Linked DNA regions of Diceros bicornis minor. The main gene of each other region encodes a partner of the protein of the gene in region 3 in a complex. Links are inferred from orthologs where the notes say so. Each region holds a gene or a part of one and is shown on either strand. Other genes may lie near its edges.

Region 1 (7,442 bases), on a different chromosome or scaffold from region 3:
GAGACTATCAAATGCCAAATTAGTGGCCCAATCTTCCTTCTTCCCACCAAATTTCTGGAGTGACTATCTTAGACAGATGCTTCTTCCTTTTTTAAACTCCAGTCATGGATCTGTTGAGAAAATGGTCAAAAGCAGGAAAGAGAAAGAATAGTAAAAAGAAAGGAAAAACACAAAACATGGACTCATAAAATGTGAAAGTTGAAAGGAATTATGGAGATCATTCAGCCTATTACTCCTATTTAACTGAAAATGAGCTAATAGAGGTCAGCTTGACAAAGGCTGCCCACAGTTAGCCACGTTTGTACTAGACCCCAACACCTGTTCTTACGCTACTACCCCACACTGTTCTTTCAGTCAATAATCCCTAAGGTCCTTTCCAAGCTCTCTAACAATAATAGCTAATATATGAATGCTTCCTATTTGCCATGTATTAACCTAAAAGCTTTACTTGTATTAACTAATTTAATTCCCTTTTTGACCACCCTAAGAGATAGGCAATTATCGTTGTCATTTTACAGATGAAGAAACTAAGACACGAGAGAGGCTAAGTAACTTGCTCAAGATTACAAAACTATCAATGATGGAGACAGGATTCAAATCCTATTTACAAACATTTTTTCTTCCTTTTCTAGATTATGAAATTCTTCCAAGCATGCCGTTGTCTTGCACATCATATCCTTCAAATCTCTAGAGCCTAGCACAGTGCAAAGCACATAGACATTTCTGTCTACTGAAATACTGAAGTACTTAATTTTACCCTACTTTAAACTACCAATTCAGCACATTTATTGATGTTTATATGTCAGGCACTTCATAAACCTCCTTCAATCCTTAAAGCAACTCTACAAAGTAAGTATCCCTGTTTTACAGGAATGAAGTAACTAGTACAAAACTCATAGCTAGAAAGAGACAAATCTTAGGCCATTCCAAGGGCCACACACACTTGCCACTAAACCACCCTTTTCAACACAGTTCCTGTCCTCAAACACTTCCTAGTTTGGTAGAGATAATGGTGACCAATTACAATGCAGTATGATCAGTGCTAAAACAGCAGCTAGGTTCAAAGTACTAAGAAAACAAGAGGAAAAGAAGGGCCTAGGGGAAGCAGGGAAGTTTAAAAGGTAACAACTGAGTGGGCCTTTAAGGATAAATGGAAGTCCTCTGGCAGAGAATACTGTTCTTTGACCTCATTAGAACCCTGATCTATTGACTTCTATTTTCTTCTAATCCATCAGCCCTCTCCTTTTACCTCAACTTTTCTCTCTTTCCAGCTTAGATTCCACAGTCTATCATTCAAACAACACCCTGAGTTCCCCCTAACTCTCTGTCATTACGGCTCACCTATCTGGCAGTACCCCCACCAGCTGCAGACACCAGGACCCATTCTAGCTAGGTTAAGCAGAAAAGGATTTATTGCCAGGTATCGGCTTACAAAACTACTGGAAGGGCTATAGGAAGTTCTGGTAGAACTTCCAGGAACAACTCCTAACCCAAAAAATAACACAGTCTTTGTCACAATCAAGAAAGTTATGGCTATCATTGCAGAAAGTCACTAAACCAGAAAGCTGCTGACTAAAGAAACTCACTGCCTCTACCATAATATTTGCCAGCAAAACTGGATGCCTCTCACACTCCTTCTCTCCACATTTAACTCAGTTCCAAATTCAATTCTCATCTTAGGTGCAAAGGAGCCAGGAAATAGTTTTTAGCACCCCAGACTTTTCTGTAAGAGAAGGCACATTAAAGGTGGGAATGTGTGTTGAGCAAGCCAAACCCACGGTCCTTGCCATATCTGCATATGTTTTCTCCATGTCTGCATTGAGCCTGATGTTGCTGGAAATAAAATATGATCCCCAACTTCATATGGGCCCATAACTCTGCACGACAATTCTACATCTCTCTGGTAAACCCATTCTCCCACACACTCTACAATGATTTTCAAATCTTCTGCAACCTTCTCAAATCTCTGACTTCCTCTCACTCTAAGTATATGATCCTATCTCCTACTTTACAGAGAAAATAAAAACCATGAGAAAGGAACTCATTTTACCAAAACCAAACATAAGAACAACCTATATCTACTGCCTTCACTTCCTTCTTCCTTTCTGTTAAATGGAGGACTGTCCATCTTCCCAAGGCTGCTCCCTCTAACTGTACTTTGCATCCCATCCATTCCCATGTTCTCAGAACACTATCAATGACCGAATTTGTCTCTTGTGTATTCAATTTCTCCATCGCCCTCTCAAGTGGATTCCTGGTGACCCCTCATCTCCTTCGGCTTCCACATCCTCTCCTCTCATTTACAATCATATGTATGAAAAACACTCTTTAGATTCACTGCCTCCGATCCCTTGCCTGAATCTTTGGCTTCTGGCCCCATCACACCAACAAAATAACTCTCGCTAAGGATACCATGAGCTCCACGATGATACAGCCAACACACATTCTTCAATTCTCGTGTTTTTTAAATTCCAGTTTCTGACACTGGCCATTTCCTTGTTTCTGAGACAACATTCCTCTGGTGCTCCTCTCTAGCTCTTTTTTCTCTTCTTCTCCTGTAGGTTCATCCTCCTGTTCTTGGACATTAAATGCTGGAACTACTCAAGCTTCTGACTTAGGGGATCTTACCCACACCTATCGCTCAATTATCACCTATATGCAAATTACTCCCAAATATATATCTCCAACAAAAATCTCTCTTCTGAGTTGCAAAGCCATATTTCAAATTGCCTCCTGAAGTCATGAATGACCTCTCCCTTCTCTACCAATGAAATAAATACTCTGTTGCATAAGCCAAAAACCTAAGAGTTATCTGTGATTCCTCTCTTTTCACTCCCTGAATCCAAGCCATCGCCAAGTCCTACTGACCCTACCTCCCATATATCTCTAGAATCTGTCCAATTCTCTGCAGTTTCACCAATACTTCAGTCTACACCGCCAACAACGCTCACTTAAAGGGTCTATCTGCATCTATCTCTCTTCAGATCTGTTCACACTACTGAGCCTGAGGGATTAAGTTACCTCCTCCACACACTCCCTCCCCCTCAAAAAACTACCCTCAGTGGTTTCCCATCAGTCTTCAAATAAAAGCTACAAAGTCCTGCAAGGTCTGCCCTCTACCGGCCTCCAGCTTCATCTTGGACCATACTTCCCTTCATTCTCTTTGCACTGGCCACACTGGCCTCTTTGTGCCTTTGAGGCATTTTCCTCCCATTTGCCACAGGGCCTCTGCACATGCTGTTCTATATGGAATATTCTGCCTTCCTCTCTTCACCCAACTAATTAGAATTCTTTCTTCAGGCATCAGTTCAGGCATCTTCTCCTCAGACAAGCCTTTCTGCTTATTTCAGGCCCTCATAACCTCAGGCACCTCTCCTAGACGGCACTTATTTCACATTTCTCAGGGAGATCATTGTTTAACATCTGTTTTCCCCACCAGACTCGAACCGCTGAAGTCAGGGATCACATATCCTCAATGCTTTGCCAAATAAATATCAATTGGACGATTAAGGAGAAGATCTATTTCACAGGTATAAGTCCAAATTTCTCAACAAGACTGCTCTGGAGAAGCAAGAGTCGGACTTTTCCTCCGTCCCTGTCTCTCTCAGGGACACAGAGCAGGCCCTAGGAGAGGCTGCAGAATCAGTGGCAGAAACAAGTCGGCCTCCTCACTCAGAGAGGATCCAGGCCGTTTCTCCCCGGGGGCCTCCGGCACCGGACTGGACACAGTAGCCGCCTGCTGAAGGAGTCCGGCGTCGAGGTGCCCAGGCAGCCGCAGCGACCCCCAAGGCTCTGCTCCAGCACAGAAAGGAAACCAGGCTACTACCCCCCAGAGCCAGGACCTTGGGGCCCGCCTCCGCCCCTCGCAATCAAAACTTCAGCTGAGAATGGGCAGGCTCAGACCATATCACCGAGGCGCCGCCTCCAGATTCCGCAGCCACCCACCCCGACATTCCTCCTACTTACTCTCCGTCAGCTGCAGGTCCCCCGGCCGCAGCATTGCGCGAAACGCCGCAACCCAGTCAGCGCGGTTCCACCCACAAGACACAGCGCGCCTAGGCGGGACTGCAGTTCCATCCACCAATCCTGGAATCGTACTCTCGTGACATCAGAGACAGCTAACCAATAACAGGAGACTATCCAGGGGGCGGTGCAGAGGGGAATATTGGAAGTCGATTGGTTCCTCCAAGCCGGAAGTTCTAGGGGAAGGACTAAGTCGGAGCCAATCGCGCGGTGCCTGAGGGTGTCGGCGCGGTCAGTGGCTGCGCTAAGGAGAGCGGTTGCCGCCATGATAGAACAGCAGAAGCGCAAGGGTCCAGAGTTGCCGCTGGTCCCGGTCAAGCGGCAGCGGCATGAGTTGCTGTTGGGAGCCGCGGGGTCGGGCCCCGGAGCGGGGCAGCAGCAGGCGGCGCCCGGAGCTTTGTTGCAAGCGGTGAGTGAAGTGGCAGGCGGCCTTCCGCCCTCGGCTCATCCTTCTCTCTCCTCGGAGCGTTGCGCCGGGTGATCTCGCGGCGGCCCTTTCTCCGCGCTGTGGGGGCGGAAGGAGACTCGGTATCTGGAGTTAAAGCCGAAAACGTTGTAAAAGCGGCCGACACCCTGCAGATGCTCCTCACGTTTCCCCGTTTGACGCCGGTTTTCGGCGTCTCGACCGCCCTGTGAGGTGGCGTTAGAATTAGAGTTAAGGATCTTGAGCTCAAAACCGGCGTTAGCATCCTAAATCTTCCAGGATCCGGCGTAAACATTCAGAAAAGTTTGTAGAATGGATGGAGGAAGGAAGGAAAGAAGGAAATGAGTGATACTGGATCGCTTTGGGACTTTGGGCAAGTTGCTTTTCCCTTTATTTCTGTGCACTAGTATTAACAACTGAATAATAGCTAACCTTCATTGAGCCCTTGTACCAAGTGCTTTATATGTGAAAACTCCTTTAACCTTGGTAACAGCTTAAGAGTTAGGAACCATTATTATCCCATTTTGTAGCTGGGAAAACAAACTCTTATCTAGTAAGTGATAGAAACAGATTTTAAGCCCAGAATCCATGCGCTTAACTGCATTTCTTGTAGGTTAGAGATAATGATCACATCTTTCCTTCCGTGCTGTTAGGCTCGGATGAAGAAATACATGTGTGTCCCCCCTCTCTCAACTCCTCAACCAGCCGGTCGGCAAATCCTGTTTGGTGTTGTCCTCAAAATATATACAGAATTGCTGTGGCCTCCATCACTAACTTGTGGTCTAAGCTATTATTATCTCATTATTATTATTATATACTATTATGTTGTTATCTGATTATTGCTGTAGAGTCCTAACTGGTATTCCTGTTTCTGCTATTATGTAATCAGTCTATTCTCAATCCAGCAGCCAGAGGAGTTCTTCTAAACTGGCAGATCATGTTACTCTCTGCTGAAAACTTTCAGTGGCTTTCCACTTCACTCCGAGTACAACTAGAATCCTTACAGTCTTTTGCCGGCTTTGCCTTTACGTCTCTGATCTACCAATTTTCCATTGCTCACCCTGCTCCAGTGACACTGGCTTCCGTGCTCCTGCCTCACAGCCTTTGCATTTGCTGCTCCCTCTACTTGAATACTCTTCTTCCAAATGTGTGCATGGTTTACACACATCTCCAAATTTTTGCTCACATATCCCTCTTTCAGTGAGGACTGTCCTTACCAGCGTATTTTAAATTGCAATACCTAGTACTCACTAACCCACATTGCTGCTTTTTCTGTTGTACCACCATCTGTAGGTTCTAGTTGTTCTCTCTGTCCCTCCCTCCTTCCCACTAGAACACAAACTCCATTGTTTATTTTGTTCACTGCTGTTTTCCCAGTGCCTAGAACAGTGCTTGGCACGTAGTATTTTTCTTAATAAATGAGTAAGCTGGAAATTACTGAAGAGATTTGGGGATTATTGATAGTGTACTTATTCTTCCACTGACAAGTAAGAATATCAGCCCAGGTTTCGGTGAATTGCCCAAGAGTAGGCTTATGTTGAGACCATAATCAAAACTACTTTCCCCAATAATCTGTACCTTGCAGGGTTGTTGGGAAGCTCAGTTCAATCATTCATTCTTTAATTGAACTAGAGACTGGGAAAACAGTGTTGAATGACCCAGGCAGGGGCCCTGCACTCACAGAGCTTCTTTTCTAGTAGGGAATAAAGACAAAATATGTAAACAAATACATAAGGAGGGTAATTTCAGGTAGTAATAAGTGCTGTGAGGGAATACAGTAGGGTTCATGGACTAGAGGGGCAGTGGGGCACTGCTTGAGTTTGAATGATCCAGGAAAGACTTTCTGAAGAGGAAACATTTGAAAGGAGCCAAACACAGGAAGATCTAGGGGAAGAGGATTCCTGTCAGGGGCAACAAAAGTGTAAAGATCCTGAGGCAGAAATGAGCTTAACATGTTTGAGCAATTAAAAGTTGGCTATGGGACAGGAGCAGAGTGAGGAAGGAGGAGTGTTAGTATAACAGGTAGACCCTGGAAACCTCAGCAGGAGAGTATCAAATTGGAGGTGTAAGTTATGTGAGAAGAGCTGTCATTCTCTAAATCAGAAGAAATTCGTTCACTCATTGTTTCCCTTGTCTTTTTCCTCCACCCACCCCCGCCTCCACAATTGTGCAGCCTCCTTGGTCTGTATGCAGTGACTACCCTGTACCTCTCTCTTTTGTGTAGGGCCCTCCAAGATGTTCCTCCCTTCAAGCCCCAATCATGCTTCTCTCAGGACATGAAGGGGAAGTGTACTGCTGCAAGTTTCACCCCAATGGATCCACCTTAGCATCTGCAGGATTTGACCGACTAATATGTAAGGCATAGTTTTTGAATCTGGAGTGATCGCTCTCTTCCCGATAGTGATTATTTTTAAAACCTTCAGTGCCACAGAAGGTATCAGTCTGAGTTGGTCACATGACAAACTACAGCTAACATGCTAAAATAGGATCAAGAAAATGCTGAATAATCTTGGGTGTAGAACTTGGGGGTCCATGTGGTAAATACAGAAGGAATTACGTTACTAGTTAGAAGGTGAGTTGCTGTAGTTTGAGACTATCTTCCTCATGGAGGCAAATCTTGAGCTGATTTTGCAAGATAAGAGATCCATGTTTAACAGGTTAATGGGAGTAATAGAGAACTTTTTCCCAAAGGTATGAGGCTCTCCTCCTGATCCACTTTCAGAATCTTAGCATATAGGAAGGAAGGAAGGGATCCTAAAGTGACAACTCGCTTGGATAATCTACCTATACATCATTAGGATCTGCTACCAAATTCTCAGCTACTAGTCGGGAATACCCGTTTTTGAGGAATAGGTAGAAAAAATCAGTTTGGGGAGTCATTAGGAAAAGCAAGAGAGAAGATAACAGAAACATCTGACTTTTTGCCTTCTGGCATCGTTTGCCACATTGTGAGATGAATTGAGTCCTTTGGCTCTGCTTATAACTCTGTACCTCA
Region 2 (8,060 bases), on a different chromosome or scaffold from region 3:
CTTGAATGTCCTTTCCTTCTGCATCCCTTCCATAGTCTGAACCACACTCAACGCTCAAATGTTTTGTGAAATTCCACTGGAATACTCAACGTTAATTGTCCCATAAGTATCAATATTCTTTCCTCACTAGCTTCTTCTCCTTAGCAAACGAAGGGTCAAATCTCTCATCTTAAGAGAAATAAAGTTTCGGGCTGGCCCTATGGCTTAGCGGTTAAGTGCACATGCTCCGCTACTGGCGGCCCGGGGTTCAGATCCCCGGCGCGCACCAATGCACCGCTTGTCCGGCCATACTGAGGCCGCGTTCCACATATAGCAACTAGAAGGATGTGCAACGGTGACATACAACTATCTACTGGGGCTTTGGGGAGAAAAAGGGAAAAAAAAGGAGGAAGACTGGCAATAGATGTTAGCTCAGGGCCAGTCTTCCTCAGCAAAAAGAGGAGGATTGGCATGGATGTTAGCTCAAGGCCGATCTTCGTCACAAAAAAAAAGAAAGAAAAATCAAGTTTCTCCCCTGCCCTCACGTTCTTTTCTGCTGCTGCCTTCTCCCTCCCCCCTTTCCCCCCCAGCCCCGGAGCTAAACACCCTGAGTTCTCCCAGTCTTGCCATTCCCACTTCCTCACTTCCCATTTGGTCCTCATCCATTTCAAGTGCTCTTGCCAAAGTCAAAAACTGACTACAGTGGTGATCTGGCTCTGTGACCAGTGACCACTCCTTCACAAAGTTCTCCACTCCTCAACTCCCACACCCTATTCTCACCTGTCTTTCCTTCTTGCTCACCATACGTTCCAAGTTTCCTGCCTGGCTCCTTTCCTTCACTTCCTGCCCTATAACATCGAGCACCCCCAGAATTCTGTTCTTGGTTCTCTTCATAGTATTCACACTGTCCTCAGTGATGCACTCACAACCACATCCTCCATTTCCCGTACCACCTCTAATCCCATCCAAATTGACATCCCAGAGCTTTATCCAGCCAGACCCAGTTGACTCCTGAGCACTGTTATCTCTAACCTCTTTCCTGATGAATGGCCAACCATGTACCTGGTCACCCAGGCCAGAAACTTGGGCCTCCTCTCCCTTCCTCAGCCTCTACATTCAATGATAATAACATTTGTCAAGCACAGAATAGGTACCATATGCTTTCCTAAGCACTTTATTATTATTTTTTAAAGATTTTATTTATTTATTTTCCCCCAAAGCCTCAGTGGATAGTTGTATGTCATAGCTGCACATCCTTCTAGTTGATGTATGTGGGACGCAGCCTCAGCATGGCCAGAGAAGCGGTGCGCCAGTGCGCGCCCGGGATCCGAACCCGGGCCGCCAGCAGCGGAGCGCGCGCACTTAACCGCTAAGCCATGGGGCCGGCCCCCTAAGCAATTTAAATATATTAACTCTTATAACCCTCGTGAGAACCCCAGAAGGTAAGTCAGTCCTCTTATTATCCTCATTTTACAGATGACAAAACTGAGGAATGGAGAGCTTAACTGCCCTCAATGACAGAACCAAATTTCCAACATCACTTTGGCTGGAGAGCCTGTACTATGAGCCATTTTGTGAAACGAACTTGCTCAGACCCTCTGCCTCATCACCCATCCTCAGCATTTTTTTTTTAATAAAGTGACTAATCCTCAGTCCTCCTAGCAATTCTCCACATCACTGCCTACCTAGCTGAATTTCTGAAACACAATGTCACTATCCAGCTTAATATCCTTCATTTTCTCCCCGTTGTCTACTAGGCAAAGTTCAAATTCTGAGAATCCCATCTCCTGCCACCAGTTATCCAATGCTGTGCTTCAACCACACCTGTTTATTTACCCATGACCAGAGGGGCCATCTGATTCCTATCTTGGTATCTTTGCATTATTATTTGGTATTACCTTGTTTATTTTTCCCCAGTGACTGGGAAAACGCCAGGACACATGGGCACTTACATGTTTGTGGAAAGGGGACGGACCTCTTCTGTCATGTTCCCCACTGTATTCTGAACTCTAAGCAGTGGTTAGTATACAATATGTGCTCAATAAATGTTTGATGAATGATTAAAGAATGCTATTTCCCTTCCCCAACCACCTACCTGGTGAACTCTTATGCATCCTCCTAAAATCAATTTACCTCACTCCTGTGAGCTTCACCCACCTTAATCTCCACTCTATCTCATCAAAGCCACGTTGATTAGATTACTGTCTTACTCGAACCTGATACTTCTATTATAGAGACAATCACACCATAACGCAATTATTTATGCACATCTTTCCTCCTCACCTGTTTGAGATCTTTTTAAGGACTGGCTGGAACTGTATCATTTACACTGGCGGGGCAATAAACATTTGTTGAGTATTCACGTATAGCTTCCCACTAGTCGGTGAGCTCTCTAAGGCAGAAATTGTACCTCATTCACTCCGGTAACGTCGGAGCCTGGCACCGAGTCTGGCTTAGAGTAAGCACCGAACAGATGCTGCAAATTAACGTTAAAAGATGTACCCTGCAGGCTGGGAAATTATAGAGATTACTGGGCAAAGGCTGGGGGCCGGCAACCCAAATGCAACAGAAGACCGGTGGATGGGCCGGATCGGTGCTTCTCAAACTCGAATGAATCACCCTGGAATCTTGTTAAAATGCAGATTCCTATTTAGAAGGTCTGGGGTGTAGACTTTGTAATTCTACTAAGCTCCCAGGTGATGCTGATGCTGCTGGTCCGCGGACCACACTTTGAGAACCACTGTTGTAGTGAGCTCGTTGCGCTACCGGAAAGCAGCGTAGGAAGCGCGCTGCCTCCTGGGACTTGCAGTCCCTCTAAGCCCTCCTCAGCCTTCCTGCAAAAGTGAGGAGCGCCCGCGCCAGAGGGAGGGCCCAGGCCTAGGCTCGGGCTGCCGGTAGAGGTGCGGGGGACGCGGTACCTGTTTGGGCTCGGTGGCCACCGGCGGCGGCGGGGGCACCGCCTGCACGGGTCCGGCCGGCATGACTGCGACGCTCAGGGCTGCCAGTCCGCCTCGGTGTAGGTGAGCGGTGCTCCGTCAAAAGAGTTTCCCCTCACCAACAGTACGACAAGCTCGCAAGATGGCGGCGACCGAACGAGTCGTAGCCGAGGAGGCGAGGCTGACGCACTTCCGGTCCCGCCCCTATTCCGTGGCGTCACTTCCGCCCCTTCCGCGCATGAGGCGGCCCGCGCGAGACGCCGTTGCCATGGCAGCGGTCGGGGCGCCCGGCTCTGGTTTGTGGGAGATCCCAGGCGCGGCGGGCGCGCCGAGAGCAGTTCCATGAGCCCACCAGACACAGGGGCTGAGGCTGTGACGCCGGAGACTGGTGAGATGTTCCACATGGCAGACGCCCCCCGCACGCGCCCCCTCTCCTTTACTCCTCGGGTGGGTTCCTAGCTCCCTCCGACCCCGCCTTCTAAGGCCCCCGCTCCCTCCCATTGGCCTCTCTTTGGAGAGCCCCCTCGGGCCCGCCTCCTCAAAGCCCCACCTCCCTACTTCTTAAACCCTCTCTTCTGGTTCATGCCCACCTCCCCCAGGTTCCTTTCCGGAGTCAGAATCCCTAATTTCCACTGGTCCCTTTTCCTGTGGGCGCGCCTTTTCTGGGTTCCACCTCCTGCCGTCCATAGTCCCGCCCTCAAGCCTCATGGACCATCTCAAATCAGGGCTGCTTCTTGAGGCTCCACCCCTCACTCCCACAGGTGCTTCTGCAGACCACTTCCTCCGCTTCCCCTGGCCCACCTCGAATCCCACCTTTTTCACTTCCCCTCCTGATATCCTCTTCTCTCTGTCCCTTCTCCCCTCCCTCCCAACTCCGGAATGCGGGCCTTGCCTGGACTTCAATTTCCTCACCTGTGAAATGGGGGGATGATAGGAAAAAAATGGCCTCCTGTGACTCCTACCTGTTTCTCTCTCTCTTAGACACACACACACACCATAGCTGGTTTATGTCATTGTTGTTATTATTAATGTAGAATAATAATGATAGCTAGGATTTATTGAACGTTTACCGTGAGCCAGACCCTGTCCAAAGACTACGTGCATTACGTCATTTATTTCTTACAGCAACTTATTTACGGTTGAGGATAGTGAAGTTTGGAGTTGGTGGAGTGGGAATCCAAACCCAGGCCATTCTTACTCCTCTACTTGTGCAGTTACTTATTCCTTTGTCTTCAGTCAGTCCCTTCACTGTCCCCAGGGATCCAGGCAATTAGCAATCCTGAATCAGAGACTGACAACTACCATATTGATGGTTTTAGAGTTTCCAAAGTGTTTTCATGGTGGTCACCTGGAATCTCAGCACACTGGCCGGGAGGTGGGCATAATCTTTACCAGAGAGGTAGGTCTTAGGGCTCAGAAAGGGAAGGGGCTTGAATGTTGAACAGGAGTGGAGGAAAGATTCCTTACCTTCTCTGTGAATCAAAAGTCCACCTTGAGCTTGAGGGAACTGAGGAGAGGCAGAGTTAGCTGCTGTTCCTACCTCAGGCAGTGTTGGCTCAGTTAGGGCCATTGCCTGTGTGAGCTCGGGACCAGTGCAGGGCTGGCAGCTTCAGGCTGAGGGTTCCACTCAAGACCCAGGAATTACAGAGAAAGCTGTGTCAAATGCTCCTTCACTTGACACACACCTAAGTGGTTCTCAAACCATGCTTATATCTGCAAATCCCCAAAGTTCATAAGAAATGACATAAGGTAACCTTGGATATTTTTCAATGCTGTGTTTTCCTCTTGTATATTCTTGATTCTTTGGCATTTGCTGCTGCCTCTCAGAACTGGAATCTAACAGGAGTTGGCATCTCAGATGGCCCTAGATGGCCATAGTTATTTGAGGAACAGGTCAATGTTTCTTGGTGTCTTTGCAAGCAAGCGCTTGAGGTCCGGGTGCCACTTGAATACACCTTCTCCCAGGGTGGAGTTTCTTGCTTTCTTTATTTATTTCCTTCCTCCCATTCCAGGAAGGAAACTGGAATGTTTCAGTCTGTTGTTTTTTTTTTGTTTGCTTCTGCCTCATTCCTTGGGGACATAAAATCTCACAGGTGGCAATATCTCATGAGAGGCAGTCACCAAGGCACCATATGTGTGCGGGATGTGGGCCTGGGTGTGTTTGTGTGTGTATTTGAGTGTTGTGGGACGGCTACTCATCGCCCTGTGGGTGGAACTGACAGAGCTGACACACTCAAGACTTGTCCACTCCAGAGACCCTCAGACATAGATGGTGGTTCCTGGCAGATAGGGCTCTGTGTGCCTTGCTCTGTCCCTATTCTTTTTTTTTTTTTTATGAGGAAGATTAGCCCTGAGCTAACATCTGTTGCCAATCCTCCTCTTTTTTCCGAGGAAGATTGGCCCTGGGCTAACATCCATGCCCATCTTCCTCTACTTTTTTATATGTGGGACGCCTGCCACAACATGGCTTGATAAGCGGTGCGTATGTCTGTGCCTGGGATTCAAACCCACGAACCCCAGGCCACTGAAGCAGAATGCACAAACGTAACTGCTACGCCAGCGGGCTGGCCCCTCTGGCCCTATTCTTGCCATGGTGCCCAGCACGTAGTAGGTACTCAGTCACTGTTTGCTGAATGAACACATGAGATCTGAGCCTCTACACCTGCACTGTCTAGTCTGGTAACCACCAGCCTATGTGGTGGTGCATTTGAAAATGGTGGCTGGTCCAAATTGAGATGTGTTGTGTCAAATAGACACTGGATTTGAGACTTAATGCAAAAAAAGACTGTAAGAAAATCTCCTTGGGGGCCGTGGCTTAGCGGTTAAGTGCGCGCGCTCCGCTGTTGGCGGCCCGGGTTTGGATCCTGGGCGTGCACTGGCGCACCGCTTGTCTGGCCATGCTGAGGCTGCGTCCCACATACAGCAACTAGAAGGATGTGCAACTATGACATACAACTATCTACTGGGGCTTTGGGGAAAAAAAGGAGGAGGATTGGCAATAGATGTTAGCTCAGAGCCGGTCTTCCTCAGCAAAAAATGAGGAGGATTAGCATGGATGTTAGCTCAGGGCTGATCTTCCTCACAAAAAAAAAAAAAAGAAAAGAAAATCTTCTTGGGGCTGACCCGGTGGCACAGAGGTTAAGTGTGTGCGCTCCGCTTCGCTGGCCCCGGGAATGGCGGGTTTGGATCCCGGGCATGCACTGACGCACTGCTTGTCAAGCCATGCTGTGGCGGCGTCCTACATCAAGTAGAGGAAGATGGGCACAGATGTTAGCCCAGGGCCGATCTTCCTCAGCAAAAAAGAGGAGGATTGGCATTGGATGTTAGCTCAGGGCTCATCTTCCTCACCCAAAAAGAAAGAAAATCTCCTTAATAATTTTGTATTGATTTCATATTGAAGTGATAATATTTTGAGTATAGTAGGTTAAATAAAATACATTGTTAAAGTTAGTTTACTGGTTTCTTTTTAGTTTTTTTAATGTGACTAGTAGAAAATTTAAAATCCCATATGTGGCTTGCGTTATATTTCTTTTGGCCAGGGCTGCTCTAGAAGCAGCATAGTTTGAATACAGAGCATAAATGTTGGACTCAAGAATCCCAGCTCCCTCAGTGACCTTGGGCCAGCCCCTTAACTTTCTAGAGCCTGAGTTTTCTCATCTGTATAAAGGAAGTGGATTCAGGAAGTGGCACACAGTAGGTCCTGCAGTCAGAGCTAGCACTGTTGAAGTGTGCCCTCTGTGCTCAGGCTCAATGCAGGCCATCCCACCTGCCCTTTCCCACCCCATTCCTCCAGCCTGGATCACCCTCTCTTTCTTCCCGGACAGACTCCTGCCTGCCCCCCAGGGAGCCCTCTCTGAGTGTCCAGTCACTGACTGTTGCTTTCATTGGTTCCCAGGGACTGAAGAGCTGCTCGGGGCCAGCCCTCACACAGGATACAGGAAGCCAGGCACCTGGGTGATCCTCTGACCCTGAGCCCCAGAGCCCAAAGCCTAGTCCAAGAGCTCGACACACTCAGACATCCAGCTCCAGGAGCAGGCACCTGGGCAGAGGTAAGGCCAGGGCCCAGTCCTCTGGGAGGCCGGAGAGGCCTGCTCAGCTCTCAGGAACCACCCCTGGGTGCCTCTGAGCTTCCCAGCACCTGTGGGCACAGGCTGGCCCTCAGGTCCCTTGGCCCAGGCGTCCAGGTCATACTGCAGTGAACTCAAAAGACAGTCCATGTGCTCGCAGGGAGATGAATTGCCAACCGCAAATAATTTCTCAGTGATTCAGTGCCAGTGTGGTGTGTGCTGGGAGGGAAAAGAACAGGATGCTCTGAGAATGTGTACCAGGGGACCTCACCTGGCTGGGTACCTGAGGGAGGTATCTTATCAAGAGGAAGTATGGGGACGGGGCACATTCTGGGTGGTGAGAAGCTGAGATGGAAACAGACCACGCAGGGCCGGAGCTGGGGAAGTGTTCCAGTCTTTATGCTGGAGAAAGCTGATCACTCTGGCTGCCGTATACAGAACGGGTGGGCGAGGTTTTGCTGGGCAGAGGGAAGAGGGTGACCCCTCAGGGAGGCTGTGGCAGTGGCCTGGGGAGATAGTGGAGTGTGGAGTAGTGTCAATGGACAGAAGCGGTGGATTCTCAGTGTGGTCCGGATGTAGGATTGGCATCACTCACTGCTTGCACGTGGGGGTAAAGGAAGGGGATTCGAGGAAGTGCCCAGATGCACTCAGTAGGGGTGCTATTTTCTGAGATGAGGGAGGCTTGGGGGTAGAAATAGGCTGGAGGAAGAGAGGTTTCCCAGGCAAGCCTGGATTGGTGGGGGTCAGAGTGGCCGTGGCCTAAATACTGCCCAAGCAGCCCCTGCATTGCAGGGAGGAGCTGTAGTGCAAGGAAGCACTTTCTGCTGCTGAGAAATCCACAAGGGACAAGCGCCCCTTCCGCAGAGTGGGGAGGGACCAGGGCTCAGCACACACAGGGCTGCCCAGCTTTGAACAGAGTGCTGGCTCTGACACCAGCTACCAGAGGGTGAAACCCCCAAGGCAGCCGATGAGCCACAGGAGGGGCCAGGACAGTGTCGGGCTTCGTGGATGGTTCAACCAAATCACCGTCTTCAGATGTCCACAGACTCCGAAGATGGACGAGAAGCATTCTGGGTGG
Region 3 (7,694 bases):
CCCAGGTGGGCACCAGTTTCTGTTTGGCCACGGTCAATGATGCGACGTTCATCACCTTCAGATACAGCCTGGCCCATTTCTGAGCAGCCTTGGCTGTTCAGAAGTTCTTTCTGGGACACTAGGATTAGTCTACTGCTGGTAGTGCCTTTCTCAGCTTGTCTCCTTCCACCTTCCACTCTGTATGGTTGCTAGCGCTGCCTTCCTAGGCCACATGGACCATTTTTCTCCATGACAGACCTTCAGGTATTTGAAAGCAGTAAGCCTGTCTCCTCTGGGTGGGCACTTGGCCAGCCTCAACATTCCAGGTCCCGAGGAGGGTGCTGCTTGGACACTGGAGGAGGCCTCCCTTCCCTGGCAAGTTCACTCCACAATGTCTCTTCTCCCTATGCAGTCAAGGCACTGGCACCTGGGAAGGGGGCCACCTGGGGCTAGGTTTCTATGTGTAATTTCCAGGCTGGTGTAGGGTGGGTGGCGGTCCGGGGCAGGCTTCAGAGCAACGGCCCTGGCTCCTGCACCTCACATGCTTCAAACTACTCCCCAGCCTCCCCCGTGTCTTCTCCACGAAGAGAGTTTCCCACAGCCGTCCCAGACAGGTCAGGGTGCCCAGCCTCATCAGAATATCAGTGCTAATTTTAGTCAGAACAGCCTACCTCAGGCTACTGCCCAGTTTTGCAAATTGCTTTTCTTTCTCCAGGGAACCAAAGAAGAAAGGGGATAGCTAGCCAGAGCTTTGAAAACTGGCCTGGACGCCCACCCACTCCCAAATGAACCCTTTTCTCTCTCTCCTCCAAGCTCTAGGGCTAATACTGGTGCCTTTAGAAGAGGAGGGTGCCCTGGCCTGGAACACCTGGACCTGACCGTTGGATGACCTGGAGACTCCATCCTTACTTGAGGATGGCACAGCCCAGTGATTAGGGAAACTGCCTAGGGCACTAGAGAGGAAAGGGACAAGGGCTGAGGGGGCTTCGAATTAGTGGCCTAGGAGATCAAATATCTTTCCACCTCCCTCTTTTTCTTCCCTTTTTCCCCCCAGCCGGCTCCAGGTCCCAACCAGCCCCCTCTCTCTGCCATCCACCGGGCCCGTCATTCCTGCCTCCGAATTCCCTTCATCCTCCTCTCTCCATCACTATCCCCCAAGCCCCCATTCCCTCAATTTTATTGCAACCTCTCCCAGGGATCCGGTCACCGGGGTCTGGTCACCATAGGAGATAGGCCAGATTCTCCCTCTCACCCCTCCCTCTCCCACTCCCCAGGGGACAGAGCGCCCCCAATCTCATGCTCTCCAGGCACTAGGCCCGCACGACACTCTCCCGCCCACCCCTCATCCCCCATCCCGATCTGGTCCACCCCCGCCCCAGGCCGGCCACTGCAGTACTCACGGCGCGCGGGCTCTGCCGGGGTGGTCGCCGGTCGCCGCTACCTCCGAACCCTTGTCCCGAAATCCGCTGCGGATGCGAGGGCGCCGGGGGCCCTGCGTGCCGAGTGCCGGTCGCTTTCCTCTCCGCGCCTGGATGGGATCAGGTGGCGGCGTCCGCTCGGCTCCGCTCCTCTCAGCTCTGCCCGCCGCCCGCCCCCCATCGCACACCGGAGGCGGGGCGGGGGCGGGGGCCCGGCCGCGCAGGAGGGGGAGGGAGAGGGGAGCGGGAAGAGGAGGGGGCAGCCTTGACTCGCAGACTGCCAGTTAACACTCTCCAGTGGCGTCTTCGGATGCAGGCATCTTCCCCGGGCAATCTTGCAGAGTCTGGATACCAATGTGACCAGCTCCTTGCCCTCACTCTACAGAAGGGGAAACTGAGGCCCAGAAGGTATCTGGGTACTGTGGCATTGCTAGGCGTTCCTGGGCTCGGCTGGTCAACCTTGGGCTGGCTGGTGGGTCCCAGAGGAGTTAGAGACACAGGTACATTTCCCAGCACCCACATGCTCCCTCCCTCCTCTCTTTCTCCTCTTTCAACCTCCAGCAGAGAAGCACAGCTCTGGCCCCTGGTCTGGTCCCATCTGCCCTCACACCCCTGGGAACCCCTTCCCTTCCAGCCCCTGAGGCAGCCCCCTGCTACTGACCCCCTCCTACTCTCCACCAGGACTCCAGACCCACTCACTTCCCACTAGAGCTTTAGTGGCCCTGGGACCCCTGCCCAGGCACCTTGTACTGGGAATCAGAGAACCCAAGTTCAACCCCGGTTGAACTTAAGTCCCAGAGTCAAGAGGCACCTCCCTGGGAAGGCTTCCAGCTCTAGAATGGGGAGCTGTTCTGAGACTGCAGAGAGGATACATGTGAAGGCTCTCTGTGAACTCCCATGTGTGTGGGGTGGTCCTGAATTTTCTACTGCCTTCTTAGCCCTTAGTTCCTACCACCTGGGAGCTGGGCAGGAGCACTTCCCAAAGTCACGCCAGACACCAAGAGCCCCGCATTTAGTTCTGGGGTTCTCATGGACCCCAGCTTTCTCCTGCCCTCTAGGCCTGGTATGACAAGGATCCTGGAGCTGGGGCAGCCACCCAAAGCTGCGACTGGAAGGGACTGGATTCCACTCCACAGCCACACAGGTAGGTATTGTGTGAGGGTCCTTGTTAAGGAGGAGAAAGGAATGGGGACTCTCAGAGTCAGGAGAACTGCTTGTGGTCCCAGTTTGACACCCTGGGCACGTCAGCTTCTCTCCGCCCCTCAGTCTTCTCCTATGCACAATGGGGGGGTCCTACCCTGCCTGGGTCCCAGGGCTTATGATAAAATGAGGCCCCACTTGGCCCATCCCTCCCTTTCTGGCCCTACTTACATTACGTCCTCACCCATCAGCTCTTAGTTTATCCTGCCTTAGAGACCCCCTTCCTGTTCCCCAGCACATACACATGCCTGGGGGCCTCCAGCCTCAGAGGAGCTGCCAGCAGCTCTCTGGTTACAGGGAGCAGAAAAACACTTCTTTTGGGTCAGGAATGGTTCTGCCTGAGTGGGCTGACCAGCTAGGGGGAGGGCACCATTCTTCTTTTGTCTGTCCGTTCTGGCTTTAGCTTCTCCTCTGAGAGTGTCAGGAGATTGGGATGGTGGCAGTGATGAAACAGGGAAAGGTCATGGTTTGGGGAGGAGTGAAGAGAATTTCCTAGCCAGGGCCGGGATGTGAGCAACAGTCCTGGCCCAGTCGTTTCCTCTGTCTCTCTTAAACCTCACCTTCCCTGGACCTGGCACCACATTTTCCCCCCCTGTTCCCAGTTACTCCTCTGTTGGGGGCAGTCAGTGAAATGGAGCATGCTGGAGAGAAGGTCTGAAGGGTGCGGGTGTGTGGGGAAAAAGAGACCACTTCACTTGAGTTTCCTGGCTCTGTTACCCGACACACACATACACACTCACACAGGCAGTGAACCTGGCTGTCAGTGAGAGGGCAGAGCTAGAATGGGAGAGGGACCTCAGAGCTAGTGGCAGAGGTGGGGAGAGAAACCGAATTGACAGGTTAGGGCAGGGAGAGGTGGAAGCTGGGCAGGCAAGGGCACCTGCCCATCCCTCCCTCAGGCGCACAGGCCACTGGTGCCGAGGAAGGGTGGACCCCACCTAGAGGCTGATGGGAACGAGGAAAGAAAATGTCCTGAGTTTATTTTCGAGACTAAAAGAGACGCAAATCCTGTCGCCAGAAAGACTGTTCCATTTGCTTTTTTTTCAGTAATCTTTTATTGAGCGCCTCTTGAACGCCAGGTGCTGCGCGACAGTAAAAAGACAAGATCTCTGCTCACGTTCTTGGGGATGGAAGAGGGGAGGAGGGGCAAGACTTCAAAGCAAATGGTGGAGGTTTGAACGTGTTATGGGAACTCCAAGGAAGAGAAGGAAAGCCGGAGAAGGCTGAGACGACATTTGAGCCAGCCTGGAAGGTGGGAAAAGGGGCTTTAGTGTGGCCCTTCCCCCAGGTTGGCAGCTGGAGCCCAGCCCGGGCGGCCCGCTCCTCTCCCGGCTCCGATCCCCTTTCAGCCCATTCAATCCTTGCCTGCGCCGGGGGTGGACGGGCAGACAATCAGACACTGTTTTATCACAGGCATCGGCTGCAACCTCCCGCCTGGCGCCCGCAATGCGCGGCCGCCGAGGGAATGAGTAGTTCGGGACTCCCCGGGGACGTAAGCGTCCGGACCTCTCACGCCTGACCAGGGAGTCGGGCCGGAAGGCTAGCGGTCTGCGCTCCGGCCGGTCCGACGCAGAAAGCACGCCCTCGGGGTGGGACCAGCTTTCCCCGCAGCCCCGCCCCCGCTCCGGCCCCCAGTGTTCCCGGGCTTGTGGGCGCGCACGGTTCTCCGGGAGTTGGGCGGGCAGAGGCCGTGACCTGCGTACTACAACTCCCAGAAGGCTTCGCGACCAGGCCGCCTAGGGACGGCTGCAGAACGCAGTGGGTGAGCCTCCATCCAAACGGCCTTCCAACCCGCGAGCGGACGTGGCGCACGGCGCCGCCGGAAGTCTCGGGACGTGTGCCTGCGGCTGGCCCGAGCTTCCGGGTTGGTCGCGCGCCTTCCTGCGGCTAAGATGGCGACCGAGCATCCTGAGCCTCCGAAAGGAGACTTGCAGCTGCCGCCGCCGCCGCCTCCTGGGCACTATGGCGCCTGGGCTGCCCAGGAGCTTCAGGCAAAATTGGCAGAGATCGGAGCTCCGATCCAGGGTGAGAAACACGGAGGTCAAGAGCCGGCAGCGTAGGCCTGCGGGGAAGCGGAGCCTGGTTACCCCGGAGACCCGGAGGCGGGGGGCGGAGGCCGGACGCTGGGGCCTGACTTGGGCCGGCTGGCCTGCTCGGCCTGACCTACCCTATTGATCCTGTGCTTTGCCCAGCAGGGAGTCGCGAGGAGCTGGTGGAGCGGCTGCAGACCTACACCCGTCAGGTCAGTGTTGGCAGCGGGACGTCAGGATAGGCCGAGCTTCTGGAGGAGACCTTCATGACCTCTCACGAAGAGCAGTCTTCGTTCTTTATGTACCTCAGCACGCCAAGTGGGGGCTTACTCTTTTTGCCTGTGCTTGCCTTTACCTGCTCTGTTGTAATCGCTTCTGTGCCTGTTCCCAGGTCCCTGCTCACGTCGAGTGCAAGAACAATGTGTCATTTGACTTGGAATTCCAGCACCTGTCTCATAGTAGACCCCCGGCAAATGTCTGCAGTAGAAAAATACTTTCTAGTTTATGGTCATATTTTTTTTCACAGCTCTTTGGGATTCCCATGCTACTGCCACTCATGGGATTACCCCTCTGTTCTGTACCTCTACCTTCTTCCCCAGTGCCCAGTCGGACCTCTGGCAGACAGGCACTGGGTAAATTTTGTTGAATGAATGGGAGCGAACGTGGTTTATTGGAACAGCTCCTCTTGGACCAACCTAGAGTCCTTTCTCTTTTGCAGACTGGCATCGTGCTGAATCGGCCGGTTCTGAGAGGCGAAGATGGGGACAAAGCTGCCCCCCCTCCCATGTCAGCGCAGGTGAGGAGGTTGTTCCACTTTATAAGATCCCTTTTGCTCAGGGTAGCCTTTTTTTTTACATGCAGTGTACTGTGGATGCAACTAGCAGATTGGGTAGGGGGGTACTGCGGTGATAGAATTGGGAGCTCTTCAGTTCTCTGGTGGTCCTGATCTTTGCCTCCTCCTCCAATGTCTGCTCCTCAAAATTCTACTTGTCATTTAAGATTCTGTTTAGTATTTGGAAGCCTGACTTGATCCTCCACCAGCTGGAAGTAATCACCCTCTTCTTTGCCCTCCCAGGGCACAGTTCCCATGTTATTCACTGAGACCTTAGAGCTCACTTCCTGATTTGATTTGATACCCTCTACATTTATTGAGTCATCAGGGCACACTGGCTCCCATTTATTTAAGTCCTCTCAACTTCCATGTTCTTTCTGATCCAGGATTTGACTCCTTTTCTCTAGAGCAGTGGCTCTGACGTGGGGTCCACTGACTTCTGTGTGGGAGATGAGGAGTCCCTAGATAGTCTTTAGAGGTCTCCTTGAATCTCCTGAAATTGTATGCCAAGTCTGTGTTCGTGGTATTGTTCTGGGGAGAGAGTCCATAGCTTTCGTTGGTTGGTGCCCCAAAGTTAGCATCCTCTTCTCTCGATACTGCTATCGAGTATTCTTTTCTTGAGTGCAAGAACTATGTATCATTTGACTTTGAATCTCAGCAGCTGTCTCATAGTAGATCCCCAACAAATGTCTGCAGTAGAGGGGCTGGCCCAGTGGTGCAAGCGGTTAAGTGCACGTGCTCTGCTGCAGTGGCCCGGGGTTCGCCGGTTCAGATCCCGGGCGCACACCAACGCACCGCTTGTCAAGCCATGCTGTGGCGGCGTCCTATATAAAGTGGAGGAAGATGGGCATGGATGTTAGCTCAAGGCCAGTCTTCCTCAGCAAAAAAAGAGGAGGATTGGCAGATGTGAGCTCAGGGCCGATCTTCCTCACCAAAAAAAAAGAACGGTCTGCAATAGATAAATACTTCCTAGTTTATGGTCATATTTTTTTCCACAGCTCTCTGGGATTCCCATGCCACCACCACCCATGGGACTCCCCCCTCTGCAACCTCCTCCACCACCCCCACCACCTCCACCAGGCCTTGGCCTTGGCTTTCCTATGGCCGTTGGACCCCGCCCTCCAAACTTAGGGCCCCCGCCTCCTCTCCGGGTGGGTGAGCCTGTGGCACTGTCAGAGGAGGAGCGCCTGAAGCTGGCGCAGCAGCAGGCAGCATTGCTGATGCAGCAAGAGGAGCGTGCCAAGCAGGTAGGCCAGGTGGCAGCCTGGGCCTGGGTCTCATCAGGGTCCTGAATGGGGAGTAGAGCCTCAGAGCTGGATCTTGGAGCCAAGCCTTCTGGGAAGGTCTGGACCACAGACTAGAACTTGGGCCCTAGGCTGGAGAAGGACCCCAGGAAGCAGAGTTGTGGCAGACTGCCCTGTGGGGTATTGGTGCTGGTATGAGCTTGTTTTCTTTTTTTAAGCAGGGAGATCATTCACTGAAGGAACATGAGCTCTTGGAGCAGCAGAAGCGGGTAATGCCCTTATCCTAACCTTTGACCCCATGGTCTAGTCTCTTGGCTGTCACTTCTAGTGCTTAGTGTCCAAAACAAGATGCACCATTCAGGTTTTCCATGGAGGTTACGTCATCCTCAACTGAGTTCCAGTATCTCCCAAATAATTCTCTCTTCCCTGTAGCTCAAGAGTTAGTAAACTATGGACTGCGGCCTGTTTTTGTATGGCCTGCGAGCTAGGAATGGATTCTATATATTTAAAGGACTCTTGGGGGGAAAAAAAAAAAAACTAAGTCTATACAGTAGTCCATACAACGGTCTATGAAGCCTAAAATATTTACTGTCTGGCCTGTTACAGAAAAAGTTTGCAGACCTCTGCTAGTCTTACATGGTATCATTTTAGGTACCTTAGAGAGGACTCTGGGCTAATTTAGTCATTTGTATCAGATTTAGATTAAACACGATAGATATAAGTTACAGAATGATACATAAGACATGCAGCCCCAGAGGTGGGTCGCATCGGTTGTTACCTGGTTGAGTTACTCAGGATTATTAGAAAATAATCATAAACAGCAACATACATGGAAATATTTATGAAGTACTGTCTTTGCCCAGATTGTGCTAGATCTTGGGTAGTAGATATAAGAAAAGAATTCATTGTTCCTTAGAAATAAATCTTTTGGGGAAGAAAACTCATGTTAAAAAATAGAAGGCAACGTTTAGCTAAATATTAAATTCTCTGC
Region 4 (8,245 bases), on a different chromosome or scaffold from region 3:
TGACAGTCTCCCTTTACACTGTGTCTCTCTCTCCCAGAACACCATGATTCATGGCTTCAACCACCAAGTCCATGTGATAATTATCAAATCTAAATCACAAGTCTTTACTTCTTGCCTGAGCCCCAGTCACCTAACTTCAACTGCTCACGGGACACTTCTACCTAGATACAACATCACCTGAAAATCTACATATATAAAAATTCATTTTCCACTGCAAACAGGTTACCTCTTTCCTGTTTCTATGAAGGGAACAAAGAACTTCCCAGCTACACAGTCATGAAAGCTCAGAGTAATGGCGGACTCTCTCTCTAATTCTCCCCCTGCACCTAGAATTCCTTTGGTCAGCCGTGCAAGATGCTTAATCAGTTCTAGATAATTGAGACATAATCCCTGCTCCTTATAATCTTACAATATAGTGGTGCAGACATTCATCGTCATAAAATACGAGAGGACCATAAAGAAAAGAAAGCTTAATTGGGAGGGGTAGACTAGTAAAGATATTTCATGGAAGCGTTGGCCTCTGGGCTGAGTCTTGAAGGTGTAATGATCCCTGGAAGTGAGTTAAGCCCTTTGTGTTAATTGGGTCCTCTAGGTAGCAAATTTCGAGACAGAGTTACATTCACAGGCAGTTTATTGGAGGGTAATACTCATGAAAGATAAAAAGGAGAGAGGAAAATTGGGCAGGGAGAGCCTAGGTCATGACGCAGACAGGACAAAATCTTGACCAATCCAACGGGGAGCTCTGGAATAGACTACTCACTAGAAGAGTCTTGCACTGGGCAGAACCAGCCAGGCCATAGTACCCCCACTGTGCTCAAGTCACTGGCTGGGGGTGGCCCAGGAAGAGAATGGCCTTGGCTTAAAGCGGAGGGGGATCATGAACGCACTGGAGCTGCAGGATGTCAGCTAATGATGCTCCCTGCAGCTAAATGGCAAGTTCATTTCTGATGGGACATCTGAGCAGCACGTCTCCATTTTCCTTTACTATGCTATTCAGGCAGGTTTGGAGAAAACACTTTCTGAGGCCATACCTCATTTGGGTGCTTCCGGTGGAATTCCTTTATTTGCTTGAGTCTATTATAGAATTCAGCAAATTCATTGGGTCCTGAAATGGCACTGAGCTCCTCCTTTCGTAACCTGCAATTGCAGGAAAAATCCAAAGAACATAGAGCACAAAGTCAGTCCTTTAACCATGGCTCCTCAAAAGCACTAACTCCTGCATTGGCTGTGACTGTCACTTACCCATCCTTATCATCATACAAATCCCTCAGGTTCCCACTGACTTCCATATACCTCTGAAAGGCAAACAGAAACCCATCAGAATGAAGCAATCTGTACAACCACAGAGCTAAGCCACCAACAAGGACTCTCTAGTCAGAGCCCAGGGAAACCTGGGGAAATGTGGTATTAAAAGTTCCCGTGCAGAGGGCTGGCCCCATGGCGTGGTGGTGAAGTGCGTGCGCTCCACTGCTGGCAGCCCGGGTTTGGATACGGGGCGTGCACTGACGCACTGCTTGTCAGGCTATGCTGTGGTGGCATCCCATATAAAGTAGAGGAAGATGTTAGCCCAGGGCCAGTCTTCCTCAGCAAAAAAGACAGGAGGATTGGCATGGATGTTAGCTCAGGGCTGATCTTCCTCACACAAAAAAAATAAATAAATAAAAGCAAACTCTTGGGGAAAAAACCAGAATAAATATTCAAAAAAAAAAAAAAAGAGTTCCTGTGCTTTCTAGTACCTTTAACAGACAGCACTGGTTCCTGATTAGTTTTTAAAACAGGCCAATTTGAAGATTACCTAAGTGATGTGATTTGAGGGGTGGCATCGAGTTCCTATATTTACATGTTACTGATGATTAACTTTCTCTAGAAGAGTCATCAAAGAGAGCCATATAAGACAGTCACCCTTTGCTAAACAGCAATTCCCACCTAAGACCCTCAAAGATAAAAGGGTGGTCGAAGATGATTTTCACTACTTCAAAAAGTTTGACTGAAGAATGTACAGGCTAAATAAACTTCCTTTGGATTCAAACTCAGGATGGTACAGGTACATAGCCCCTTCTCCAAAGCTTTTGGGACCAGATTTGTTTCAGAATTTGGAATTTTTAAATTCAGAAAGGTATTATATATTATGTAATATCCCTAGTGGAATCTGGAACACATATTAATAGTTCTGCAGTGAAACTCACCTAATATTTACTAAGTGAGATAAAGACCACAAAAGCCTCTCATCTGTTCAGGTCAGGTTTTGCTGCCAAATGAGATCAAGTGAGATTCTGCCACCAAGTAATTACTCCCTCACAACCCCCTTTGTTTTCAGAGTATTTTGGATTTGGGAATTTAGATAAGGAACTAGGGGCTCGTAAGACTGACTATCTCCTGCAAATCAGAAACTCTGATGAGGTCTTTTATTTCTTTCTAAAGACATCTCAAACATATACAAGAGCAGACAACATAGTATATAAACCTCCATTTACCTATCACTTAACTTTAATAAGTACCAACATTCTGATTTATCAGTTTTCTAAAAGTAAGAAATTAAACTATTACCAGGTAAAAGCAGTTTGGTAGGCACAAATACTTCAAATCAGTGTTCTGGGAGGAAAACACTAACGGACAGCATTCTCTTCCGGGCAAAAGAGGTAGTACTTTCTGGGCCCCAGTCACTGACTTCTAATAACTATTCCCTAGACATCCATGGGACACAGGATACTGTAAGAAGGGGCGTCCCTCCGAGTAACGGAGAAGAGTACGAGTCGCCCGTTCAGAGACGCGAGGAAGGGCAGTTAGGCACCCTCGGGACTGGGCGCCGCGTGGACATCTCCAGGCCGACAACCCGCGACTGGCCAGTCCGGTTACGTCTGGCCAGGGCTCCCGCTGAGCGGCCGCACCCGCCTCCCCGCCTTTCCCGCGCATCCCGCCCAGCCCGACGCGGTCGGCGGGGGTACTCACGTCCTGCATGGCCCGGGTGCGGTGGTCCGAATTGATCTGGTCCCGGAGCTGCAGAGGCAAACGGGGACACGGCGCCGTTGCTCGGAGGGCTGGGTCCCGGGAGGAGGGGACCAAGGCGGGGGCTCGGGGAGGGGCCGGGGAGGGGCGCGGGGAGGGTCAGAGGGTCAACCCGGGATGGGCCCGGCCTCAGAGGGAGCCCCCGCCCAGGCCCCACTCACCGTGGACTTCTTCGTGAGCATCTCTTTCGCCATGACGTCCATGAGCCGTTCCTTCTCTTCGTGATATCGCCGTTGCTGCTCAAGAATCGTCTCCATCTTCCCTGGGCCCCCGGACCTCTATTCAGACCACCTACACGGCCGGAAGCAACTCCTGCCGCCTCGCGCGCCCGCGTCCCCACGCTGTGCGTCCGGCCGCACTGAAGTTCCGCGGGTACCGGAAGTGCCTCGGGGACTCGAGGAAAAGTGAGCACCGAAAGGAGAGCCAGTCTGGGCTATCGAGATGGCAGCAGTGCCCCCTGCTGGCCGGAGGTGTGGTGGCGCGACGCCGAGCGGTTTGCAGGTGCCTCTAGGGGGCATACAGAAATCCCGGAACCTGAGGCGAAGTGCCGGCTTCCCGGGGCTTCCTGGCCAAGCAGGCAGGGCCACTGTGGACTGAAGAGTAGTGGAAAAGCATGGATGGGAGTTGGGGGACCGGAACTTGAGACCCTTACTGTGTGTGAACTCTGACAGCGTTTTTCCCTTCTCCGGATCTCAGTGTCGTTGTCAGTAAAATGGGGATGATAGGGTTTTTTTTTTTTTTTTTTTTTTTTTGTGAGGAGATCAGCCCTGAGCTAACATCCGCCAATCCTCCTCTTTTTTTTGCTGAGGAAGACGGCCCTGGGCTAACATCTGTGCCTATCTTCCTCCACTTTATATGGGACGCCGCCACAGCATGGCTTACCAAGCAGTGCGTCGGTGCGCGCCCGGGATCCGAACCAGCGAACCCCGGGCCGCCGCAGCGGAGCGCGCGCACTTAACCGCTTGCGCCACCGGGCCGGCCCCTGTTTTTTTTTTTTTAAAGTAATTCACATGCAGAAACAACCTAGTTGTCTAACAGCAGGGGACTGATTAAATAAAATATGGTACATCAAAGTAGTGAAATGCTATACAGCCGTAAAAAAAAAAAGAATGAAGCAAGTCTATATGTCCACTTCTAGATGGCAAAATGAAAACGTGTGTCCGTATGTTCAGATGTTCATAGCGCCGTTATTCATCATCAACAAAAACAGAACGCAACCCCCAAATCCATTCACTGGTGGATGGATAAGCAAAATGTGGTCTATCCATACAATGGAATATTATTCAGCAATAAAGGAATGCTACAATGTGGATGAACCATGAAAACGTCATGCTAAGTGGAAGAAGCCATACACAAAAGACCATATTCTGTAGGTCCAGATGAAATGTGCAGAAAGGCAAATCAATAGAGACAGAAAGTAGATGAGTGGTGGCCTGTGGCTGGAGGTGAGAACGGAAGTGACTGCAAATGCGCACAAGAAATCTTTTTGTGGGTGACAGAAATGTTCTAAAATTGGATTGTGACAATAGTTGCACAACTGTATTAAATTTGCTAAAATTAATTGAATTGTACACTGTGAATGGGTGAATTTTATGGTATGTAACTTATACCTCAATAAAGCTGTTAAAAAAATCTGTATGAACTCATAGGGAAAGATGGCCACACAAAGTGAAAAAAGCTAGACGCACAACAGTGTGTATAAAAATAGATGCACAAACAGATTATTTCTGTAAGGATAGCCAACTAACAGTAAACAGGGGTTGTTTATGAGGAGATAGCCTGGAAGATCTGGTACAGGAGGGAAATTTTTCTTTGTATATACCCAAAGGAGAGCATGAAAAGTTTTTTTCTTAACATGTACATGTATTACTTTTTCAATTGCAAAATAAACTTAAAACTAAAAATGAAAATACATATATGCACATGAACCTTAACAAAAAAGAACTAGGAGGCTATAATATATCAAGGAGTTGTTAGTGATTTATCTTTTGTTCCCTTTACTTTTTAGAATTCTCCAATTTTTCTACAATAAGCATACATTGTTTTTTAATTTTAAAAATAACATAGGGATAATGACTCTTGTCTTGCTTGCTCATGGGGTGTTGTAAGGGTATTTTATGTCTAAAAATTTGAACAACCTTAGGGAGAGGACTCCAGGCATAACTCCTCACCACAGGCTTTTCCTGCACCACGAGGAAAAAAAAGTAAGAGATCTCCATTCAGGATCAGAGAGATGAAGAGATGAACCTTTTTTTTTTTTTGGTAAGGTTTGGGATCTACTGTATTTCATCGAATACCAGATGCCAAATGTTAACCCCACCATGTTCCACTAAGAAAGAAAAAAAAAAATTGTCAAATTGTGTCGGTTATATAATGATTATACAATTATATGATGATACAATGCTTCTAGGTTTCTGAGATGTGAAATCTAAAAAACGTTTATCTTGAAATCAATGCCAAGGTTTTGTACCTGCAAATTTCTTCCTCTTAGGTAGATGGACCACCTAAGCAACACCACTTACTTGATGCCTTCCTTCCCCACTCCATCAAACCAGTCACGAAGTCCTGTCTTTTCCGCTCCTGCTGCCACCTGCCTCATCATCTCTCACTTTGACCACTGCACTAGCCTCGGAACCAGCCTGCTCATCTTACCCTCCAATCCATTATTCATGCTGCAGCCAGAGTGATCATCTCACCCCTGCTTAAACATTTCCACTGGCTGCTTCACCCGCAGAGTGAGGTCTGTTTAACTTGGCATTCGGCTCTTCCTGACCTGGGCTCTGCCTGCCATTTAGCCTCTTGGCACTTCCTCCAAGTGAAATTACTTGCTGCTTCCCCAAAGCACCATATGGTTTTTCAGGCCCCCAGGCCTTTGCGCCAGCTGTTTTCTATGCTTGGACTCCTCCTCCTCAACAAGTATTTATTGAACATGTAGTAAGTGCCGGGACCTGAGGATGGAGGGGTGAGCAAGGCAGGCGCGAGCCCAATCCTCCAAGTGGCTGATGGGAGAAAGAGACAAAAATGTGGAATGTCTAATTATTAATCATAAACACACACGGTGGGTATTCGTAAAGGTTTGTTGGAAATGTCAACCAGGGCCTCAGAAAGTTTAGAATTGGAATTAGGGAAAGCAGTGTGAAGCGGATTAGAATCCCAGAGCTACCAGTGACTACCTATGTGACGTTGGGGAACTGACGAGTCTCCACCTCCGTGAAATGGAAAAATGCCCGCCCCGTTGGATTTCTGGGAGTATTGAAAATGAGATACAGACAATCACGCGGTTGCCCCGGGCCCGAGGGCCCCTCCTGCCCAGGGCGCGAGGGTCCGCCCACCCCGAGGCGCGGGCCCCCACCCCCGGAGGCTGCGGGCGGGACGGTGAGCGCAGGAGCCCGCGCGTACCGAGTGTGCGCACGAGCGGACTCCGGCGGTTCCGCCGCGGAGCCCAGACCGCAGGCCCCGGAGGGGGCAGGGGCAGGGGGCATGGGACGCTGGGTGAGGGGAGCAGCGCTCCGCCCCATCTCCCCACTTTGGGGGGCAGCCCCCCTCGCTCATTCCCGCCTCCGCCCTTGAATCACGGGGGGGCGGGGCCATGACCCATTCATGCCGGGAATCGGATCCAGATGTTCCCGCGGCGCGTGCAGCTGCATCCTTGCCTTTTTTGGCAAAAAACGTGCGGCCTCGAGCGGATCCCGGGCCGCCTCCGCTAATCCTCGGGAAGAGGGGGAAGGGGGCCGAGGGTCTGGGTCCAGGCTGGGCATCCGCACCCGGTGCTCTGCGGGATTTGGGAAGGGCTGTTAGGGGAGGGGGGCGATTTGTACCAGACCTGGGAACCCACCGCCACCCCCGCTCCGGTCCAGAGCCTCTCTCAAACCCCTCCCTTCCCCATATGGAGGAAAACGCCCTCCGCCAGCAGGGGGAAGGTAGGCTTAGCGTGAGAGGGACAGTGACAGCAGTGGAGATCCCCTTTCTCGGGCGAGATTTCCCACGATCCTCAGAGTCCCTCCGTCTGCGAAGAAACCTTCCTTCCCCCTCCATCCGCAAACACACACATACAGGCCTTCACTTCCTCACACTGCTTTATTGCAGAATCTGGAAGGGGGTGAGCCGATCCCACCCCTCTGCCCATCTCCGGGCAAGATGAAACTGAAATGAAATCAGAAAACACTCATAGGACACGGGCTGGGCAAAACCCTGTACCCTAGGGCCCCCTAACCAGTGAACCCATTCTGCTGCCCAGACAGCCCCAGCCCTGGGGACAGAGGTGGGATGGGGTGGGGAGGGTCAAGCCTGAGGATAGTCCACCTTGCAGGACTGCTCAGGCACCCATAGGAGACCTACAGTCTTGGGAGAGAAGTCTAGATTGAAGGGGGCCTGGGTCCCAGAGTCCAGGTTTGGAGGGCTGGGGGTCTAGAGCCCTGATTTGGGGAGGGGGTTTGGTCTGGGAACCCAGACTGTAGAGGAGAGGGCTGAGTCCTGGAGTCCAGGCTTGGGGAGGGGATTTGAATCACAGAGGCTCCAGAGGAGCCCAGGTTTGGGGGCCCTGGGTCAGGGAGTACCAGTTTGGGGGATGTTGGAGTAGGGAGGCTGAATCCTGGAGCCCAGGGGGAGCCCCAATTTGGGGAGGGGCTGGATCCCAGAGATGGTTTGGAAAAGGAGCCTTAGTCCTGGAGCCCTGGTTTGGGAGGGCCTGGGGCCCAGACTCAGGGCCCCGCCTGGCTGCAGCCCTGGCATAGCACTTGGTCTCCGTCGGGCACGAAGCCCTGGCCCACCAGAGAGGTGGAGCAGCGGGCGCAGGAGAAGCAGCTGTGGTGCCAGTGGCGGTCTTCAAAGGACACATACTTGCCTCCGCCGAGTCCTGGAGGGAGGCTGGAGGTTAGCTCTGCAGATCTAGAGGGCAGTCCTGCCCCTCAGCCTCACCCAATACCAGATGCCACTTCCTTGCTTGCCCCCACCCACTCAGTCCTTGGACCCTTGTCCCACCTGTGATGGGGCGCTTGCAGCTGCTGCACTTGGGTGCAAAGAGTTCTCCAAAACAGGCCACGCAGTAGGGATCATCATCCCGGGAGGTGAACTGCTGCCCTGCCAGGGGTGTCTGGCACCCAGTGCAGACCAGGCATTCTCGATGCCAGGGCTGGTCACGGTATGTCACACCACCCTGTGTCAGCGTCTGTGGGGGCAGCATCTGTCAGTAGTGGGGAGTGGGGATTCCCGCCCCACAACAGAGCCTTGCTCGCCTCCA

Evidence for each region.
Region 1: SF3B2 (region 3) and SNRNP40 share a complex: the UniProt entries of both Homo sapiens proteins name them as parts of the minor spliceosome. The link is inferred for Diceros bicornis minor from reciprocal best matches to the Homo sapiens genes SF3B2 and SNRNP40.
Region 2: SF3B2 (region 3) and SF3A1 share a complex: the UniProt entries of both Homo sapiens proteins name them as parts of the 17S U2 SnRNP complex. The link is inferred for Diceros bicornis minor from reciprocal best matches to the Homo sapiens genes SF3B2 and SF3A1.
Region 4: SF3B2 (region 3) and SF3A3 share a complex: the UniProt entries of both Homo sapiens proteins name them as parts of the 17S U2 SnRNP complex. The link is inferred for Diceros bicornis minor from reciprocal best matches to the Homo sapiens genes SF3B2 and SF3A3.

Annotation. Positions count from the first base shown.
Region 1 is NC_080752.1:46,266,710-46,274,151, reverse strand, and holds the start of SNRNP40 (U5 small nuclear ribonucleoprotein 40 kDa protein), read left to right. Parts: upstream 1-4,273; 5' UTR 4,274-4,288; coding exon 4,289-4,432; intron 4,433-6,671; coding exon 6,672-6,801; intron 6,802-7,442. UniProt on the Homo sapiens protein: Required for pre-mRNA splicing as component of the activated spliceosome. Component of the U5 small nuclear ribonucleoprotein (snRNP) complex and the U4/U6-U5 tri-snRNP complex, building blocks of the spliceosome.
Region 2 is NC_080774.1:23,863,574-23,871,633, forward strand, and holds the start of SF3A1 (splicing factor 3A subunit 1), read right to left. Parts: upstream 3,045-8,060; 5' UTR 2,961-3,044; coding exon 2,898-2,960; intron 1-2,897. UniProt on the Homo sapiens protein: Component of the 17S U2 SnRNP complex of the spliceosome, a large ribonucleoprotein complex that removes introns from transcribed pre-mRNAs.
Region 3 is NC_080770.1:7,248,825-7,256,518, reverse strand, and holds the start of SF3B2 (splicing factor 3B subunit 2), read left to right. Parts: upstream 1-4,471; 5' UTR 4,472-4,489; coding exon 4,490-4,622; intron 4,623-4,789; coding exon 4,790-4,839; intron 4,840-5,345; coding exon 5,346-5,423; intron 5,424-6,457; coding exon 6,458-6,706; intron 6,707-6,921; coding exon 6,922-6,972; intron 6,973-7,694. UniProt on the Homo sapiens protein: Component of the 17S U2 SnRNP complex of the spliceosome, a large ribonucleoprotein complex that removes introns from transcribed pre-mRNAs.
Region 4 is NC_080752.1:51,927,595-51,935,839, forward strand, and holds the start of SF3A3 (splicing factor 3A subunit 3), read right to left. Parts: upstream 3,339-8,245; 5' UTR 3,264-3,338; coding exon 3,168-3,263; intron 2,998-3,167; coding exon 2,950-2,997; intron 1,296-2,949; coding exon 1,243-1,295; intron 1,138-1,242; coding exon 1,032-1,137; intron 1-1,031. Other genes in the region: FHL3 (four and a half LIM domains protein 3), read right to left, coding at 7,707-7,861, 7,987-8,173. UniProt on the Homo sapiens protein: Component of the 17S U2 SnRNP complex of the spliceosome, a large ribonucleoprotein complex that removes introns from transcribed pre-mRNAs.